Linked DNA regions of Cricetulus griseus. Each later gene encodes a partner of the first gene's protein in a complex. Links are inferred from orthologs where the notes say so. Each region holds a gene or a part of one and is shown on either strand. Other genes may lie near its edges.

Evidence for each region.
Region 2: the proteins of Rbsn (region 1) and Rab4a are in contact, whole or in part, in a crystal structure (PDB 1Z0K), measured with the Homo sapiens proteins. The link is inferred for Cricetulus griseus from reciprocal best matches to the Homo sapiens genes RBSN and RAB4A. Residues at the interface, in NP_001289307.1 of Homo sapiens: Glu441, Gly442, Trp443, Leu444, Pro445, Ser447, Glu454, Pro458, Leu459, Gln461, Gln462, Asn465, Ile466, Phe469, Asp480, Glu481, Thr484, Leu485, Asn488, Leu492, Glu495, Gln499; in NP_004569.2 of Homo sapiens: Tyr10, Leu30, His31, Ile34, Glu35, Ile46, Gly47, Val48, Glu49, Phe50, Gly51, Ser52, Lys53, Lys63, Gln65, Trp67, Arg74, Phe75, Ser77, Val78, Ser81, Tyr82.

The regions. Positions count from the first base shown.
Region 1 is NC_048601.1:51,601,697-51,611,283, reverse strand, and holds part of Rbsn (rabenosyn-5), read right to left. Parts: intron 6,665-9,587; coding exon 6,578-6,664; intron 5,860-6,577; coding exon 5,757-5,859; intron 3,316-5,756; coding exon 3,211-3,315; intron 2,521-3,210; coding exon 1,384-2,520; 3' UTR 1-1,383. UniProt on the Homo sapiens protein: Rab4/Rab5 effector protein acting in early endocytic membrane fusion and membrane trafficking of recycling endosomes. Required for endosome fusion either homotypically or with clathrin coated vesicles.
Region 2 is NC_048596.1:200,483,875-200,493,961, forward strand, and holds the start of Rab4a (ras-related protein Rab-4A), read left to right. Parts: upstream 1-4,109; 5' UTR 4,110-4,407; coding exon of another isoform or gene 4,408-4,438; intron 4,439-5,272; 5' UTR 5,273-5,292; coding exon 5,293-5,341; intron 5,342-10,087. UniProt on the Homo sapiens protein: The small GTPases Rab are key regulators of intracellular membrane trafficking, from the formation of transport vesicles to their fusion with membranes.

The DNA.
Region 1 (9,587 bases):
GCCTTAGCAAGAGAAGAGGCCTGCCCCAGGAAACTCGGATGCCAGGCTGCCCACCTCCCAGGACAGCCCATGACACCACCAGAGCTGGCAACTGACTGGCACTGGTAATACACTCACAGGTCAGTAAACACCTGCTGACAGAACCCAAAAAGTTCTCCATTACCCTCCCTCTCCAACAGGACTTTCTACCCAGTCAAAGCCCCCAACAGATACTAATGAACAGTTGCCAAAATAGAGATCTTTGCACCAGATGCCATTCTTACCACCAAGATGGATCTTCACCAGAATGTGACAAAAGAATTTCAGCCTATACACCAATAACCAACAGAAGCCATGGCTCAGGGGTAAAGTGCCTAGTGGTCAGTTATTGTCCATTAACTAAATAGCATCACTGAAGAGATTACACAGAGCTGAGCACACCAGGATCTTACAAAGTCATCTGTCAACCCATCTGTTTCTGTAAACCAAAGCACTAAGCTACATAACTTCTCTTTCTGTCCCTATCAGAGTTCAAGTACTTCAGGACTATGGAATGATCTGAGGTTGTGCATCAAATATTTCTCTTTCTCAGTACTCCAAGTAGTAGGAAAACATCTCACCAGTTTCCCAGGTCAGGATGAACCACAGTGAAGGCTAAAATTTATTTCCTGACTCAGAAGTGTCCCATCTGCTGCCGATACTCCACAGAAGCTTCCTGGTCAGATTCCTAAATTGCACTACAGGCCCTTCAATGTGACCTAGAGAGTGGCCATTCTCCCAAACTATAACATCCACCAAAAAGCTGATCACTCCTATCTCATAATCAAGCTCACATTGACAACCCTGCACTTGGAAACTTTACTTCCTTTAACTGGGAGAGGATAACACTGGCAACGTCTCCACTAGTCCCCCTGGGTCCAGACTTCCCTTCATAGTAGCCATCTCCCTAAGTGTCCAGGAGACAGCCCAAGGAGGGAGGTGGTGAAAGGCAACAGCCAAATAGAGTCTTCTTCCAGAGTCCCTACCTGTCTTGGCTACAGGAAGGGGCCCGTGAAGGACTGACCTATAATACTGCATTGAAGACCAAGACCAGTCAGCAGGAAATGGACCAAGAGGTGTCCAGGAGCCATTCTGCCTTGGCCCAACAGAGATGCACTGAGCTGTATCTCAGAAATAAAATGGTAAAGTCCCCTGAAAAGGGAACACACCGTTAAAAAAATAATAATACAGAAAAACCAGCAAACGAATGCCGATTTGTTTTCTGTTCTTGTTCAACTATAGTGGAAACACCTCAAAGTGCACAACAAGAGACTACTGTTCCCACCCCTCACTGTGTGCATCCAGATGCCCACCTAGCTCCTCCTCCCCCTCGGTACCCTGCTGCCTGGTCCCTGACCACTGCTGTCAGTTAGGGCCCCCCTTCTGCTTAGCCAGGGTACACTTCAACTCCCGAAGGTTCTCAGTCAGCACCTCAACCTCGTCCATTCGACCACACTGCTTGGCATCAAAGATGTAAGCCTTGATGTTGTCAATCTGCTGCAGGAGCAGCTCCTCCTCAATGTGCTCCTCAGCCTCTGTGCCACTGTCACTGTCCACCTCAAAGGGGTTGGTGCAGGGGCACTCCTCAAAAGGGTTTCCAGGGGCAGGTGGGCTGGCAGGCCTGGGATGGTCATCCTCATCAAAGGGGTTGGGTGCTGGACTGTTTGGGTCAGTGAAGGGATTCCCTGCCCCTGACTCTCCTGCCTCCTCTTCCTCAGCATCTTCCTCAAAAGGATTGTATTCTCTGGTGACAGGAGCTGAAGGGCCCAGGAAAGCCTCTGCAGCAGCAGGGCTGGTAGCACCCTCTGCAGGGCTGGAGAGGTCTTCATCAAATGGGTTGAGAGAGGTCTTATCACTTTGTTGTGACATGGTGTTCTGCAGGAGTAATTCCTGGCCAAGTGCTGGGGGCCCAGACCATAAGTGGATAGGTGCTAGAGTTGAGCCAGGTGAAAGGGTATTGGGGGCAGTGCTGCCCTGAACTGGGGAGAAGTCCTGATCCAAGGCATAGGCAAGATCACTGTGAGGCCCTCGGTTGGGATCCAACTGGAAGGGTACGACATCTCGGAGATCTAGAGCACGAGTCCGTGTGTGCAGGGATGCTGCCAGGAACTGCTCCTGTTCTCGCTCCAGCTCCCGCCTGCGGAGCATCTGCAGCTGCTCTCGCTGCAGCTCCTCCTCCTCAGCCTGCCTCCGGGACAGTTCAATGGCCTTCTCAGTCTGCTGCTGGTCATACTCATCCTGCAGCTGCCTCAGGTTCTCCTGAAGTGTACGCACCTCATCTGTGCGGCCTGCAGCCTTGGCCTGCCTGATGAAGGACGTGATGTTGTTGATTTGCTGGAGGAGAGGGTCAGGGTTTTCACTCTGCCCCTGACCTTCTGACAGTGGAAGCCAGCCCTCAGCTTTTCGCAAGGGAGCATGGATGCCTCGGAGAGACTTCGCTTCCCCATTGGCTGCAAAACCACTCTGCCTTTCTTCGAGCTTCCTCCGGGACTCCAGAGCAGCCTGCAGAGACAGCACACACCACCAGGGTCACCATGGTCAACAGGCCAGCAGTCCTCCCTTTCTGCCACCCTCCATGGTCCCCACAACACTAAGATAACTCAACTGCTGAAACAAGGTAGTCACAGAAGGGCAGGCTTAGATTTTCAGAAATAAAACATAAGTTCAGGTGATTTCTTCAAACTTAGTTTCACTGGCTATACACTTTTCTTAAACTTTCAAAGACTGCCACCCTTATTAACATAAGGTTAGCATTTCAGATGACACTAAAGTACACAGTGTTCTAAGTTTTCATTTTGTTTTTTTGTGGTACTGGAAATAGAACCCAGGGCCTCAAGCATGCTAAGCAAGCATTCTATCACCGGACTATGAAACAGCACCCTCATTTTTTTTGTAAGTAACACGGCCTCACTATCTAGCCCAGGCTGGTCTGGAATCCAGGCATGTACCACCACACCTGCTGTCTTCTGTTTAACAGTACACATTCCAAGGTCTTTTGGAACTTGCCTGCAAGCCTACCAAAGGGAAAATTGTCAATCCCTGTGGTGGTCTAGGCAGGAGAGCATCAGCAGGAAAAACAACTATTTTTCTAAGGCCATAACAGAAGCCAGCTTGAGAAAGAGACTCAGCAGCAGAGGGCTAGGGTATGACAGCAGGAAGACAATAGCTACTGGGTGCCTGGGTGCCCCGCACCTGTCTCTCCATGGTCCTCTTCTGTTCCAAGTCTTGCTTCCTTTTCTTTTTCAGTTCTTCAAACTGTTCTTTGGTTGGCAATGACATCAAACCCAGTAACTTTTCCTGTAGGAGAGTAATAGACAATTTTACACGTAAGTGGGTTTTTTTTGGGGGGGGAGGAGACATGACAGGGGCTGGGCCTTAAGCCTTATACACTTAAGCTAAGCCACTCCACCCCCTGACAGGAAGGATATTCTTCCTAATTGGCAGACACCTTTCAGATGGACCTGACTTCTCCTTATGAGACGGCCATATCTTATCTCCAGGTATCTCCCAGGACTGTGCCAGTTTTTCCCTGAGGCTGTGTCCCGATCCCATCTACCAACACCCATCTAGACTCCAGCACTCCCGCCACCCACCACCCGCCACCCTTTGTGCTTAATCACCAACCCCAGATCTCTCCCTCGTACTTCATACTGCCCAACATATCACCTTTTAGTAATTTTTGTTGATTCCTTGCTATGTAACCACATTCTTTTTTTTTTTTTTCTTTTTGGTTTTTCAAGACAGGGTTTCTCTGTGTAGCTTTGGAGCCTATCCTGGTACTCGCTCTGGAGACCAGGCTGGTCTGGAACTCACGCCTGCCTCTGCCTCCCGAGTGTTGAGATTAAAAGCGTGCTCCACCAACGCCCGGCTATGTAACCACATTCTACCAATAGAAATATTCCCTCCTGGCCGGGCGTTGGTGGTGCACACCTTTAATCCCAGCACTTGGGAGGCAGAGGCAGACGGATCTCTGTGAGTTTGAGGCCAGCCTGGTCTACAAGAGCTAGTTCCAGGATAGGCTCCAAAGCTACACAGAGAAACCCTGTCTCGAAAAACCAAAAAAAAAAAAAAAAAAACAAAAACAAAAACAAAAAACCCTCCTGGAGGACTTTTAAGCTGGAGGCTTAAGTCATGAAACTTCAAGAAACTGACAAGACTCAGGAAACTCATGAAACTTCTAGGGCTCCTGGCCTTCCTCAGATGATCCGAGCAAGAAACAATGCCAGGGAGAGGAGTCTTCTTAGAGCTCCTTCAACCAAGTCATCTAGGGGCTCCAACAATGCAGGGGACATCAGAGGTAGAAAAATGCAACTCAGATCTAGTCACCTAGGTTTATAGCCTACTCTTGAACCATTAGCCAATGGCCCAGAAAGAGTCCCCAAAAGAAGAAATATAACTTACCACTAATAGCAAAAACTTAGGATTCATCAACTCCCCCAATGAGTGGTTCAACAAAGGAGAGCATACAGAGTCAAAGTAGCATTCCATGGCCAACAAAGCATAGAAGATTCAGTGATTAAAATGATACAAATCGGGGTTGGGGATTTAGCTCAGTGGTAGAGTGCTTGCCTAGCAAGCACAAGGCCCTGGGTTCAGTCCTCAGCTCGGTGGGAGGGGGGGGGGATGACGACACACAAAAAGAATATAAAATGATATAAATTTGTAGGTATGTATGGAAGGGTTGATCTTCCTTGTCTACTTGGATGGGTTTAGAATTGAAACACACCTCTGGGTGTGTCCATAAAGGTCTTTCCAAAAAAAAGTTTCAGGTGGGAAGACCCACTCTGGTGTGGGTGGCACTGTCCTATAAGCTGGGCTCCCAGACTGAATAAAAGGAAAGAGCTAGCTGAGCACCAACATTCATCTGTCTCTGTTTCCTGACTCAGATAAAATGTGACCAGTTTCTTCAAGCTCCTGTCACCATGACCACTTCACCTTGACAGATTTCAAACTGTAGCCCAAATAAAGTCTTCCTTAAGTTCAAAGTATTTTATCACAGCAATGAGAAAAATAATGCAATGAACTAATTATAAATATCGCATATAAAATGTAAATAGAGAAACAGAATTAAGAAAGAAAATATAACAGAATGAAGAACAATTGTATTGGAGACATAGGATTAAAAGCTATTTTAAACACAAGACCTGGGGCTGCAGAAATGGCTCAGGAGTAAAGAGGACCTGAATTTGGTTCCGGCTCCAACATCAGTTACTTCAACTGCCTGTCACTCCAGATCCAAGGGATTTAATGCCCTCTCTGGACTCTGCAGCACTTGCACTTACATGCCTATCAATCCACATGCAGACACACGCATACACAATCAAAAAGAAAATCTAAAATACAAAACACACACACACACACACACACACACACACACACACACACACACACACACACACACACGATAGATAGATACATGGATGGATGGATGGATGGATGGATGGATGGATGGATAAATAGATGGATAGATAGATGGCATGAAGCAGGAGGTAGACTAGCTAGGATGAAGTTATGAGCAGGAATGGAAGGAAAGAGAGTGGGTAATGGGGGTGAGTATATCCAAAATAACTGTATGTATGTATGAAGTTGTCAAAATGTTTAATGATTTTTAAAAAGTATCTTTACTTTTACTTGGGTTTTATCTTTTTCTCCAAATGTGGTATTCATAATTTTAAGGAATAATAATATACCAATAGAAAACAAGCAAGTCACACACTTAATGTCACAAATGACTTTACCTGCACAAATAGTGTAGCTGAATATCTGATCATTCTCTGTAGCCGCAAGGTGTTTGGATGTGGTGAAGGATCCTGGTTCAAGCCCAAGGTTAAGATCTTCTTACTATATTGGAATAAACGTGTCAATGTAATGGTGCTGCCAGCCTCAGCAACAGAGTGAAGTCTCTGGAGCTGCCAGGCTTTCATACCACGAGGATGTGGAACAACACAGAAGAAACTGAAGTGTCCCTCATAGCAAGGCCCATTCCTTACCCTCTGGCTACTCTAACACTGCACTGATGAATGCTTGGTCACAGTAGTAGCAACACAGGAAAGCCTGGCTTCACAAGTGAACACAGGGTATGGCAACTAACAACCCATATTTTCATGACTTGCTGTCACTATCTTAAAATATTCAAGAGTGGAGCCACACAAAGAACCTGTGTTTCTATCAAAGCTTCTCTCTTATAAAATGGAGGTGCTAATCCTGATCTGTCCCACGAGGACAGGCATACAGGTAGTACAGCAGCTAGTTCTTATTTCTTTATTACTAATGAACATCAGAAATCTTTTTCTCTAGTCCCCAGTATGCTAGGGACGCAACCCAGGGCATTGTACATACTAGGAGAATACTCTATTACTGATCTACACACCACCGGTAAGCACTCCAAATCCTTAACAAGAAGTTCCAGAGCTACAGTAGATGAAAAAGTTCCTCCACTGTTTTCACTGTCACCAGGAATCTAGATAAGCCCAAGCTGCTCCCCACCACTCACTGTTTCATCAAAACACCATTTTTGTCCCATTAGCAAGCAGCAAAAACATGATCTAGCAAACTTTACCTTAAAGTGTCTATTAGTTCATACACTTTCTGCACTTCCACTCGAAGGTCATTGGCATGCTCCAGACTGTAGGTTGTTTCCCCAGCACTGAGGAGAAATCATAAATCATGGTGCTAACTGAAGAGCGCAGTGTTTACATCCTCAGACACAGGTGGTTAATTCTAAGGCATTCGAGACTCATGAAGACAATGCAATAATTCCTCAGGATGCAGTAATCAAGCAGAAGTCATTTCAATGTGCAGACACCTCAGGGACAAACCACTGACCAGGCTTCTGAGGACCACCTCTTTTATTTATTTTTTTTTAAAGATTTGTTTTACTATTTTTAGGTATGTGTATGGGTTAGTATATGTGCCTAGTATATGTGTCAGATCCCCTAGAGCTGGAGTTACAGGAGGTTGTGAGGTTATGAGCCATCTGACATAGGTGCTGGGAACCTAACTCTAGTGCTCTGGAAGAACACTCCGTAACTGCTGAGCTATCACTCCAGCCCCCAAAGACCAGCTTTTATACTCATCAACAAAACAAATGCAGCTGAGTTCATTCTGACCCACTTTTCCTGAACAATCCCTCACTTTATCTTATAGGAGGTATAAAGTGACTTAGTAAATGAGCCAATGAAACTACAGGAAAGCCAGAAGTCACTTGGCTTTTCACACTCAGCTACTGCTTAAGAAGAGGAGTAACAATGCAGTGAACAGGAATCCCCAGAGCTATGCCAACTGCCCCACAGACTCTCTCTCACAAACAACTGCTCCAGATAGGAGAAAAGCACCCAGACTTCAAGTCTAACAGAATGAGACTAACTGTCCAGAATGGTGAGCAGTTATCAGAAAAGACCAGAAGCAACTTAATCCAGGACAGCAGCAGCATCTTTTTTTTTTTTTTGGTTTGTTTTGAGACAGGGTTTCTCTGTAGCTTTGGAGCCTGTCCTGGAACTAGCTCTTGTAGACAAGGCTGGTCTCAAACTCACAGAGATCCGCCTGCCTCAGCCTCCAGAGTGCTGGAATTAAAGGCGTGCAGCACCAACGCCCGGCAAGCAGCAGCATCTTTAGCGTTGTAATTATTGAATTTGCAAGCTTGTCACCCAGGCTTGCCAGACTGCTGACTCCAAGTGCCATGATTGTGGCTATTCTTTACCATATTCTTGGTTATAAACTTTTGGATCATGAGAACGGCTCAGCAGCTTTCTCAGCTGTAACCAGCCTCACCACCAGCCACTCAACTCTTCATGGGAGGCAGCTGCAACTTAAATAAGCATTACAAATTTACCATGTATAATGCAGTTCTGGCTGAAAAAAATATATATGGGAGTGTTTTATCATCAGGGGATTCAATACAGTGGCTTTATCATCTTTTCACCACAAAATATGCAAAAAAAAAAAAAATGGAAGTAAAAAGGCAGGCTTTGTATAGCTGGGTGTTGGTGGTGCACACCTTTATTCCCAGCACTCGGGAGGCAGAGGCAGGCAGATCTCTGTGAGTTTGAGGCCAGCCTAGTTTACAGAGCGGGTGCCAGGATAGGCTCCAAAGCTACACAGAGAAACCCTGTCTTGAACAAACAAACAAACAAACAAACAAACAAAAACAAAACAAAACAAAAAAAAAAGAAAAAAAAAACAGGCTTTGTCAGCCAGATATTTGTGGCTCGTGCCTTTAATCCCACAATTCAGGAGGCTAGAGCAGACATATCTCTGTAGTTCAAGGCCAGCATGATCTACAATTAGAGTTCCAGAACAGCCAGGGCTACAAATAAAACCTCTGGATTTGGTTCTTTTTTAAGTGGAACCTTGCTATTCCGAACACCTCAGCTCCAGAGGTCATGCATGTCTCAGCCTCCTAAGTAACTAGGACTAAAGCTCTGTCTTGGTGTCTCATAGAAAAATCTAAGAGCTAACTGAGGCCTGAAACCACTTCCTAGGCCTCCATCACATCAGAGCACTGTCACGGCTAGAGTTAGCCCATTCAATACTTGCTCTCTTGACGATGGGCCATGGGAAAGGCACCATCGTCTCTGTTCACTGCCTCAGTCACAGAGAAGAGTGTGTGGCACAGAACTAGTGCTCGTTCATGAAGCATCTGCTCAATGAAGTAATGTAAGACCCAGGAAAGCTAGTCCCTGGAGGAGAATCAAAAGTTAACCATTTGGAATGTGCTCAGCAATGGCTGTCCCTACTGGCCAAGGAAAGTCACAGAATGTAGGAGAGGCAGCACTAGCCATGGATGCATGAACCCATACTCATACACAAGAGCACACACACACATCATACACAGATGTACCACACACACTAAATAAATAGGTAAGAAACAGGTAGCCACAAGTGTTAGCCAGGCTGTGGAGAAACAAAATTATAAAATGCAAAGACAAAGATAATATCCACACAGTTCTTTGGAACATAATTTTGCAGTTCCTCAAAAAGCTAAATGCAGAGTTACCATAAAACCCAGCATAAGTTATACACCTATGCACACACACACATAGGTTCATATATATACACAATTATGAAAGTACAGACATGTTGGCATATGTCTGTAGTCCCAGTACACGAAGGTAAAGACAGGAAGATCAAATGATCAAAGCCAGAGTCAACTACAGAATGAGTTTAAGACCGGTCTGTACTACATAAGAACTTATCTCAAAAACAAAAAACAAAACAAAACAAAACAAAACAAAACAAAACAAAACAAAAAAACGTGTTATCCACAATAGTTAAAAGTGGGGTTGAGGGGACCAAATAAACACCAATTGACAAATGAATAAACAAATTTCATAAATAAGTCTACAACATTTTAGTACAAGGACAGTAATGTAGTGCATGCTACAACATGGGTGAATGAATGTTGAAAATACTGATGTACACAGAAGTAGCTAGACACAAAAGGTCATATAATCCCACTTATAATGGAATATCACATACTGACAAATTCAGGCAGACCTGTGATTGCTAGGAAAAGGGCAAGTTGCTTACACCTATGAAGTTACTCACCTGAGTGATAAAAATGTTTGCAA
Region 2 (10,087 bases), on another chromosome or scaffold:
TGACAACTCTCAATGTATTTGAACAGTGGAGGTCCCCACCCGGGGCCTGGCAGTGATGGAAGGATATTCATTTGTTTTTAGTATCAGCAACAAGGAGCAAGCCACAGCTCTAGGCAGCTGACTGCTGTAGCCTGAATTCTTTTCAAAGACCTCTAATCAAAGGAAGGTCTTTTGTTTGTTTGTTTTGTTTTGTTTTTTGAGACAGAGTTTCTCTATGTAGCTTTGGAGCCTGTCCTGGAACTCACTCTGCAGACAAGGCTGGCCTCAAACTCACCGAGATCTGCCTGCTTCTGTCTCCTGAGAGCTGGAATTAAAGGTGTGGGCTACCACCACCCAGCTTCCCCCCCTGCCCCCGCCCCCGCCCGCGCTTGTTTTTAAGATAAGGTCTGTTTATGTAGCCCTGGCTCTCACTATATAGGCCCAGCTGGCCTCGAACTCACAGAGATCCGCCTGCCTCTGCCTCCTGAGTGCTGGGATTAAAGGCATGCGCCACCAACGCCCGGACAGAAAAATAATTTTAGAACAAGTCAGTATGAAGCAAAACTGTAGTTTATTAAGAGAAATGGGAGGGGGTGGTGCTGGAAAGATGGTTCAGTGGTTAAGAACACTTGCTCTTATAAAGGACCTGGGTTTGGTTCTCAGCACCCACATCAGGTGGATCACAAACCCTCTGTAACTCCAGTTCCAGAGGATCTGATACCCTCTTCTGGCCTTCAAGGAGGCACTTGCATGCATGTGATGCACACGTATGTATTCGGACCCACATGGATACACATAAAATTTTAAAATAATAAATCTTTTTAAGGCTTGTTTAGTTCTCTCTTACATGTATAGGTATTTAACTGCACATATGTCTGTGAACGCGTGCATATCATACCCATGGAGACTAGAAAGGGACATTGGATTCCCCTGGGATTGGAGTTACCCAAGGTTGCTAGCTGTCAAGTAGGTACTGGGAATTGAATCTGGATCCTCTGGAAGAGCAGCCAGTGTTCTTTTTCTTCCCGAGACAGGGTTTCTCTGTGTAGCCCTAGCTGTCTTGAATTCTATAGACCAGGACAGTTTAGACCAGGACAGGACAGAGTTTGATACACACTCTATCTCGAACTCAGAGATCTGCCTGTCTCTGCCTCCCAAGTACTGGGATTAAAGACATGTGGTACCACTGCTAGCTACAGCCAGTGTCCTTCATAGTTGGGCTCTCAGCCGGGTGTTGGTGGTGCATGCCTTTAATCCCAGCACTCAGGAGACAGAGGCAGGCGGATCGCTGTGAGTTTGAGGCCAGCCTGGTCTCCAGAGCGAGTGCCAGGATAGGCTCCAAAGCTACACACAGAAACCCTGTCTCGAAAAACCAACAACAACAAAAACAATAGTTGAGCTATCTCTCCAGCCTCCTTAAGGTTAATAAAGTTTTAATCATAGAAATTAAAAGAATGAGAGAGAGAGAAAAGAAAAGGACATGGGTGAATGGGTGTTCTCAAAAGAGAAGAGTGTGGCTGAAGATGGGGCTCAGTTGGTAAAGTGTTTACTAAGCATACATGAAGCCTAAACTCAATCCCCAGAGCTGCATAGACCAGGCATGGTGGTACAAAACTCTGATCTCAGCACTCAGGAGGCAGAGGCAGAAGTTCAAGGTTACCCTCAGTAACATACTGAGTTGGAGACCAGCCTTAGTTACATGAGACCCTGTCTCAAAAATAAAAATAAAAAAGAGAGAGAGACAGCTTCAAGTGTCTTAACAATAGCATATATATATATATATAATATTATATATAATATATTATGTTTATGATTTTGGTTTTATTTTAATTCTTTTATACATTTATTTATTGTGTATGTGCATGTACACATGTATGCTTACTATTTATTTTGTGTTGCATAAGTGAGCATTGCAGTCAGAGGATGAACTTTCTATGTTTTTGGTGCCAGGTCATCAGCCTTGGTGACAAGTACCTTTACTCACTAGGCCATTCTGTCAGCCCTGTTTTTTTTGTTTTGTTTTGTTAGTTTTTTTGTTTTGTTGTATGTGTATGTGTGTACAGGTGGACATGTATGTCTGTGCACATGTATGTAGAGGCCAGATGTTGATATTGGGTATCTTTCTCTATCACTACCTTCTTTTCTGACAGTTTATTTCTAAATCTGGAGGTTACTGATTTCACAAGAATAGCTGACCAGTAGGCCCCGTGGGTCTCTGTCACTGTCTTCCCAGTGTTAGGGTTACAGCTTTTTACACTGAGAATCTCAGCTCAGGTCCTCATACTTTGTATGACAAGCACTTACCAAATGGCTCACCTCCCAGCCCTTGCTTTTGTTTTTTGAGGCAGGTTAGCTGGAGTTTTCTTTCTATTACTGTGATAAAACACCACAACCAAAAGCAACTTGAGGAGGAAATGTTTATTTCAGAGTATACTTCCACATCAAAGTGTGTCATCAAAGAAAGTTAAGGTAGAAACTGGAGGCAGGAACTGAAGCAGAAGCCATGGAGGAGTGCTGCTTACTGGCTTGTTCCTCATGCCTAGCTCAGCCTGTTTTCTTATAGAACTCAGGCTACCTGCCCAGTGGTGGCACCATAGTGGGATGGGCCACTAATCAAGAAAATGCCCCACCAGCTTGCCTACAGACCAATTTTATGAAATAATTTTCTCAATTGTGGTGCCTTCTTCTCAGATACCAGCTCATGTCAAGTTGACAAAAAATACCAACCAGGACAGGGTCTCATGTAGCTAAGATTGGCTGGTTTGAACTCTCAATATTCCTTCCTCCATTTCTTGAGGGATAGAACTACAAACACGATATCATACTTGGCAATTTTGATGCCCTCCCTTTCTTTTTAAAAAATTAGGTCATAGAGTTGTTTCTGAGGTACACTTCATAGGATTAGAGGCCAAGATAAAAACATAGGTCACAAGGGCCAAAAGATTCTTTACTATATTAAGTCATAAAAGTTAAGACATTTTTGTTTGTTTGTTTGTTTTTGAGACAGAGTCTCACAAAGCAGCCCTGGCTTGCCTAGAACTCACTCTGTGAACCAGACTGGACTCAAACTCAGAGATCTGCTTGATTCTGCTTCCTGGGTTCTAGAATTAAAGGCCTGTGCCACCATGCCTAACTAAGACATGTGTTTTGAATGTAATCTTGTTTGTGAGGTCCTCAGAAATAGTACAGATTTACATCTGGGAAAGAAACTAAGCTAAGCTCAAAGCTCACATACTGGGGCCATAAGCACAGTTCATTGCTATCTTAACTTCTTATATGAAATATCTCTATTTCAAAATTGTGTAAGCAATCATTTTTGTACTTTTAAAACTTATTCATTTCTTTTTGAGCTGTGTCTCTTTTATCTTTGTTTCCCCTCCAATTCAAAACAATCCTCCAGCCTATGCCTCCCGAATGCTGAGATTACAGACAAGGGATACCTTGCTAGGCAATCTCAACTGCAAATTGTGCGTACTGTGCCAGCAAGAGGCTTCAACAAGTCTTCAGGATGAGGGCTCTTTTCCTAATTTCCTGTGTGAGAAAACACGAGAGTGAAATATTGAACCAGACAGCACGGAGCAGGTGATAGATTCGTGGCAGAGCCAGATGGCCTAGGATGAAAAGGTACACAGTGGCCTTCTCCACCATTCAGGCCTCTGTTGCTACTGTGAAGAAGGTAGGCTCTTAGGGCCTGGTTTGCTCAGGTGGGCCAAATTCCCAGTTTGCCTTTCAGTAATTGTCCCGGACCCCTTTCTTTGGGATAGGAGCAGGTTCTGTCCTGCATTGTTTCCTAAGCCGAACACACCTTTGAAATTAGCCTGCAGTAAGGGCCAGGCAACATTGTGCCCCAATCTCCAATGCACAGTTCCCTGAAAGTCTTGAGTCGGGGAGTTCAGGTGACCAATTACTCTTGCCTGGGGTAAGAGCTTGGCTTTCAGCTGGTGAACCAACCTCCCACCCCCCACCCCCTCCCCCCACCCCGTTTTCCTTCAAAGCAAGCCCCCGGTCCACCCCTGGCTTGCTAGGTCATACTTAAGGATGACTGAGTCTGTGTTGCAATGCCATCTGGGAGGACCTACCGGGTGCAGGCACCCCACCCGAGCCCCGCCCCTCCTTCCTTCCTGGTCCCCCTCCTTCATCTTCCTTCGCTTCACCTCCTCCTTGGAGTAGGAGCCTCTCACCAGTTCTCTCCCTGTCCCTCCACCCCTTCCCCAGCCCTGCTCCTCCTCCCTCCAGCGACCCCGCCTCCCCCCACCCCGGCCTGGCTCCTCAGCGGGGCGGCGGTGCGCAGGCGCGGAGCCGAGTCCCGCTGGGCCGCAGCCGGTGGCCGGCTCGCAGTGGGCCTGTACCCGGCCCTCCACGCTCGGTTCCCCCTCGCTCTGCGGACACCAGAGGACTGACCGGACCACGCGGAACTGTAGCGACAGAATGGCGCAGACCGCCATGTCCGAGACTTACGGTAAATCGCGCTGGTTCGTGGGTATGTGTGTAGGGGGGCAGGCCTTGGGATCCCGGAATGTTTGTGGCTGGGGTTAGGGTATCCAGAGCCGGTGTTTAGAATATCGAGATGTTGGGACTGGACTGGGATCCTAAGAACCTCGCGGTGTCAGGGGCCAGGTGAAGATACTGAGAATCTTGGGATGTTTATGGCTGGGCTGGGATCCTAGTAATCTTGGGATTCTGAGAATCTAGGTCTCAGGGGTCAGGTGGAGATACTGAGAATCCCGGGGTGTCAGCTGCTGGGATCCTGAGATTCTTGGAGTGTCAAGGTCGGGCTAGAACTTGAGAGCGCCTGGATGTTTGAGGCTGGGCTGGAATCTTGAGGATGGGGGTGGAGGGTGTCGGGAGCTGGGTTGGACTCTCTGGCCAGTAGGTGCTCCTAGCTGTGCAAAGCATTGTGATCCTCTCTTCCAAGTTCCCTCCTGCTTTGACCCTACATTGGATTATTTAAATAGATCAAGGTTGGGGGAGCCGGTTTATCACTGATTCTCCCCCTCCCCACTGCAGCACCGAGCGCAGGGATGAAGGCTCGGCCACGCCTGCATTTAGTGTCTTTGGGGGCATGGCTGTGGGCCCCTCAAGGTTTGGAATTCCTTTCTTTGCATTGAGATTATAATGAGTTTTAAATGGTTGAGTGCATCTCTTTTCTGGAGACCCCCTAGCCTCGTGTATCTTTCCATCCCTCCCTCATCCCTGTTTGGGTTGCATTATAGCTTTTTATAAACATATGTCCTCTTTATGACCATAAGCCTTGGATATGGAGCTGTGTTTTTCATCTTTGTTTCTCCTACAGCACCCAGCCGTTTCTAATGCATGTGCTGGGTATTGTCCCGCCCCTCCTCCCCCCACACACCCAGTCGAGGTAAGAATAAACAACTGGTAGTGTGCATGGTTGCCAGCCCCTAACTGAGACTTGAGACTTTGACTTGGTATGTGCTGGTTACAGGGAGGGACTCCCATGTAAAAGCATGGTGATCATTTCGTGTTATCCCAATGTGTTAACCTGCTACTTTCCTGCCACAGGGTGGGGCCAGGGTCCAGCCAGGGAGATTCTAATCATTGTAAAAGTGCTATGGAAACTTCCCCAAGAGTTTGCAGTCCAGTGAGGAATAGATTGTTAATCCAGTTGTGACCTTAATAGATGAACAATTAAAATCCAGGCAGCAGTTCCAAAAGAGCTTGGTCTGTCCAACTGTGTGAGAAAGAGCTGACCCAGATGGGTCAGAGAGGGGCATGTGGACAGGCAGATCTGGGGATCTGGTCTGGGAGCATGGTTTGGGCACCTTAACTTGAGTAGGCAGTTAAAGAACCTTGAGGTTTGGACTTTGAGAGGGTGGGACCCTGGGAAGGGTATTATGAGGCACACAGTAGCCTGGTGCACTGTCTCCTGGCACCAGCACTCTTGTGGCACTGAGGCATTTGTCTGACCCTAAGACACTATCTATGGGTATCGGTTTTGTCAGGGCTACAGGTGTGTTTACCTTTTCCTTCATTTCAAGGTATTTTCCAAATATGCCTTTAGTTTTAATTTTTGTTTATTTTGAGACAGTTTCTCTATATATAGTTCTGGACAACTTAGCCCAGGCTGGCCCCACACTTGAAGCAATATCCACAATATCCATGTGTCCCCATGTCCTGGTTTTTACTTTTGTTTTTTGGGGGGTTTTTTTGTTTTTGTTTTTTGAGACAGGGTTTCTCTGTGGCTTTGGAGGCTGTCCTGGAACTAGCTCTTGTAGACCAGGCTGGTCTCGAACTCACAGAGATCCACCTGCCTCTGCCTCCCGAGTGCTGGGATTAAAGGTGTGCGCCACCAACGCCCGGCTAGGTTTTTACTTTTTAACTAAGTCTGAATTTAGTCTTTCCTTTCAATGGAGGAAACAAACAAAAAGCAAATAGAAACTAATAAGTGGAAGTTTAGCTTTAGAAAGAGGCAAGAGTGGTCTCTAAAGCTGCTGGCATAAAAGAATAGTCACCCAGAACCAAGGCAGAGGCTGTCACCTTCACTCATCCTTGACTATGTTTACACAGTATTGTTCCCCAAATTAAAACAACCAAGACCTCTCCTTCCAGACCTTTGCCTGTTGGCTGGCATAGGAATGTTTGCCTAACCTTTAAGTTCCGTGTGTTTGAGGCTGGTTTTCTCTCTTCCGTGAAAGGAGGTTCTGTGCAGCTTGGTGGAAATTCAATGAAAAATGGGAGCCAGTGTTTATGGCTACTGCTATTGAGCTGGCTGCTAATGGCCTGTAGAACAGTCCTGGCACATTGCACAGGCTGAGTGGTGGTCAGCACTTTCTTGATCTGAAGTCCCTAACTCCACGAACACTGTGCTTTAGATCACGTAATAATGTAAATTGGAATGTTAAACAGGTAGGCTTTTCACTTTTGAAATGTGGTTAGCCTAGTCCACCTGATGAGACTGAGACACTAGGATATTAGTAAAGTATACTACTGGGTGTGGCTGTGGTGGGTTTCTAGACATGATTAGATACTAGAGGCTCCAGACTAATCAATGAATTAAACCCTTGATATATTCATTATCTGATGTTATTATTGGCAGGTGATCAAAGAGGTTGGAGGTAGGACATGACTGGAAGAAACTGGAGGAATGTCCTTGGAGCTCTTTTTCACCCCTGCCTCTTCTTGTAGTCCCTTCTCTCTGCTTCCTGGCCTCTGTTGATGTCAACTGTCCCATCACATATCCCCAGCTGCGATGGGCTGACTCCTGTGAAACTAAGCCAAACAAATCCCTCCTCCCTTCAGTTCTCTTGGGCATTTTGGTCCCAGCTAGCAAAAGTGAATGTCCCTAACCCGAAGGGAGGTTCTCCTAGTTATTGTTAGAGACACAGCATCCTATGGCTATATGCGTTCAATGAGCATTATCGGGGCCAAGGATTCATGTTGGCAGCCTGAGACCTGAGAGTTTGAAAGCTATCCTCAAGTACTTCCTGACACCCAATGGTGAGTCACAGAAATTACTAAGCAGTGTATGTGGTGGGAAAGTGCCAGGGAGCTTTTAAACCTCCAGGACAGAGAAGACTGACCTGGAGGAAGAATTTGAGACAGGTGACTGTGCATTACAATTTATGCCAGGTGCTATGCGAGAAACTCCTGAGACATAAGAATTCTGCTCATGTTGCTGGCCCCATGGTGGTTTCTGTCCTAGTATATTCAGCATAGTATATTCCACCTCGAAAATAACACACAGCGTTCTGGTGTCTAACAGATAAGGTTGAGATCATCAGGGTGTTTTTCTGCTAACTGCGCATCCTCATTTGTGTGCATGAGGTTTGAATTGTGTCCTCAAAGTCACACATACATCCTAGCTCTGGACCTGTGGATGTGACCTTATTTGGGACAAGGTCTTTGCTGGTGATTATTGAAGGTGGAGTCACGCTGGGGTTTTATGTCTCAAACTTGGTGACTGTGTTCCAGTGAGACCAGAGAAATATGGACATACATGTTTGTACATACACAAGGAGAGTGGGCTTTGGCAGCGAGCCTCAGGTTGGAGAGGTCCAGTACCCAGTCAAGGTACCCCCAGCATAGCTGCCAACCACCAGAAACTAGGAAGAGACAGGAAGCACCCCTTCCTGAGCCTGCAGGAGCTCAAATGCTGCCACACCTCACTGCAGCCTCTGGCTCTGACAGCAAATATCTGCCACATTAAGCCAGTGGACTTGGGACACTTTAAGGTAAAAGCCTCGGAAGGTAACTCACAGGACTTAGTTGTTACATGATGAATCTTGAAATGTAGGCTTGATAAGGCAATTTGGATTGTCGAGGATATGCCAAATTAAAAAGAGCAACATTTTCAAAGTCCCTTCATTTATAAAGTAAAATTAATTTCCTGTTTGGAAAATCACCTGAATTACCATTGCCTTAACTCAAAATTACAAAACATTTAAACAGTTCAAGCAGACATCAGAAAAAAGACTGCCAAAGTTGGGGTTTTCTTTTTCTCATTCATTGAAGATTTTAAGAAGCAAGGACTAGGGCTGGGGTGGGAGGCATGTCCTTGATCTCAGCACTTAGGACGTGGAGGCAGAAGGATCAGAAGTTGAAGGTCATCCCTTACTATACTATATAGGGAGCTGGAGAACAACCTATGCTACATGTGATCCTGTATCAAAAAAAAAAAAAAAAGGAAAGAGAGAGGAAAGGGAAGGAGGTATGGAGGAAGGAGAGAAAGGCAGGCTAGTAAGATGCCTCGGAAGGCAGAGCACTCATTTCACAGTCAGACTCCTCATAGGACCCGCAGCTCCCTGGATGTGCATGAGAGAAGGGGCCTTGAGAAAATTATGTTGGAATTCAGTATCATTGAAAAACCATGATTATTGGGTAAATATAAGTTTGAAATTTTCTTCTTGCTATAATAGCAGTCCTTCTGTTAAAGACCATGCCAGTGTCTTTGTTTTTTGTTTGTTTGTTTGTTTAAGAATTCCCATGTTGGCCGGGTGGTGGCATATGCCTTTAATCCCAGCCAGCACTCTGGGATCTCTGGGAATTTGAGGCCAGCGTGGTCTACAAAGTGAGTTCCAGAACAGCTATAGCTATTATATTATAAAGAAACCCTGTCTCAAAAAAAAAAAAAAAGAAAAAGAATTTACATGTTGGCCCACTTTGTATCAATTATTCATAACAAGACTTCTTTTTTTTAACAATTCAACATTGATTTACTATGAACCAGGCTGACCTCAAACTTACAGAGATCTACCTGCCTCTGCCTTCTGAATGCTGGGATTAACCCAACTCTGTGTGTGTGCGCGCGCGCGCGCGCGCGCGCGCGTGCGTGCGTGCGTGCGTGCGTGTGTGTGTGTGTGTGATGTATGGGTGCCCACAGAGGTCCAAAGAGGACATCTGAGCTTCTGGATCTGGAGTAACAGGCAGCTGTGAGCTGGGCCCTGGAGTCGAACTCTGGTTCTCTGGAAGGGCAGGAAGTGTTCTTAACTATTGAGTCATCTCTCCACCCCTGAACATTTCTTTGACATGAGAAAAGGTTCATGTTGTTTCTGGAATTTCTTCTCTCAGGTCTTCCTAGGGGGTGTGGTCAAACTGAGCTTGTATGTTTTTATCATTCTTAGTAATTCTAGTAGAATATTGCCCAGTTAAAGTGTTGGAAGCCTCTGCTGGCTTGCGCCCTGGCCTGTGCCTTAACCCCTGTTGCTGGATAGGGCAATTGTGGGGTATGTGTGTGTTTGTAAGATTTACTTTTCTATTATATGTATGAGTGCTTGCCTGGATGTATGTAAATATACTGTGTGTGCCTGATGCCCAAAGTGGTCAGATGACAGCATTGGATGCCCTGGAACTGGAGTTATGGTGATCATAATATGGGATCAAGCAGGTGATTGTGAGATGGGATCAAGCTGGATTGTTTTCTGTGCATTTGAAGGCCATGTGATATTTGCTACTTACTGACTGTAACTGTGGAATAAAATATAAGATGGCACAGGACAGTTCTACCTATTATTTAAAAGGTAGAACTGAGTGTCATGCCAATAGTCCCAACACTTGTGAAGTAGAGGTAGGAGGGTAGCCTGGGCTATATGAAACCCTGTCTTTTAAAAAGATAAAAGAAAAGGAACTATATTATAGCAGAGAACATAAG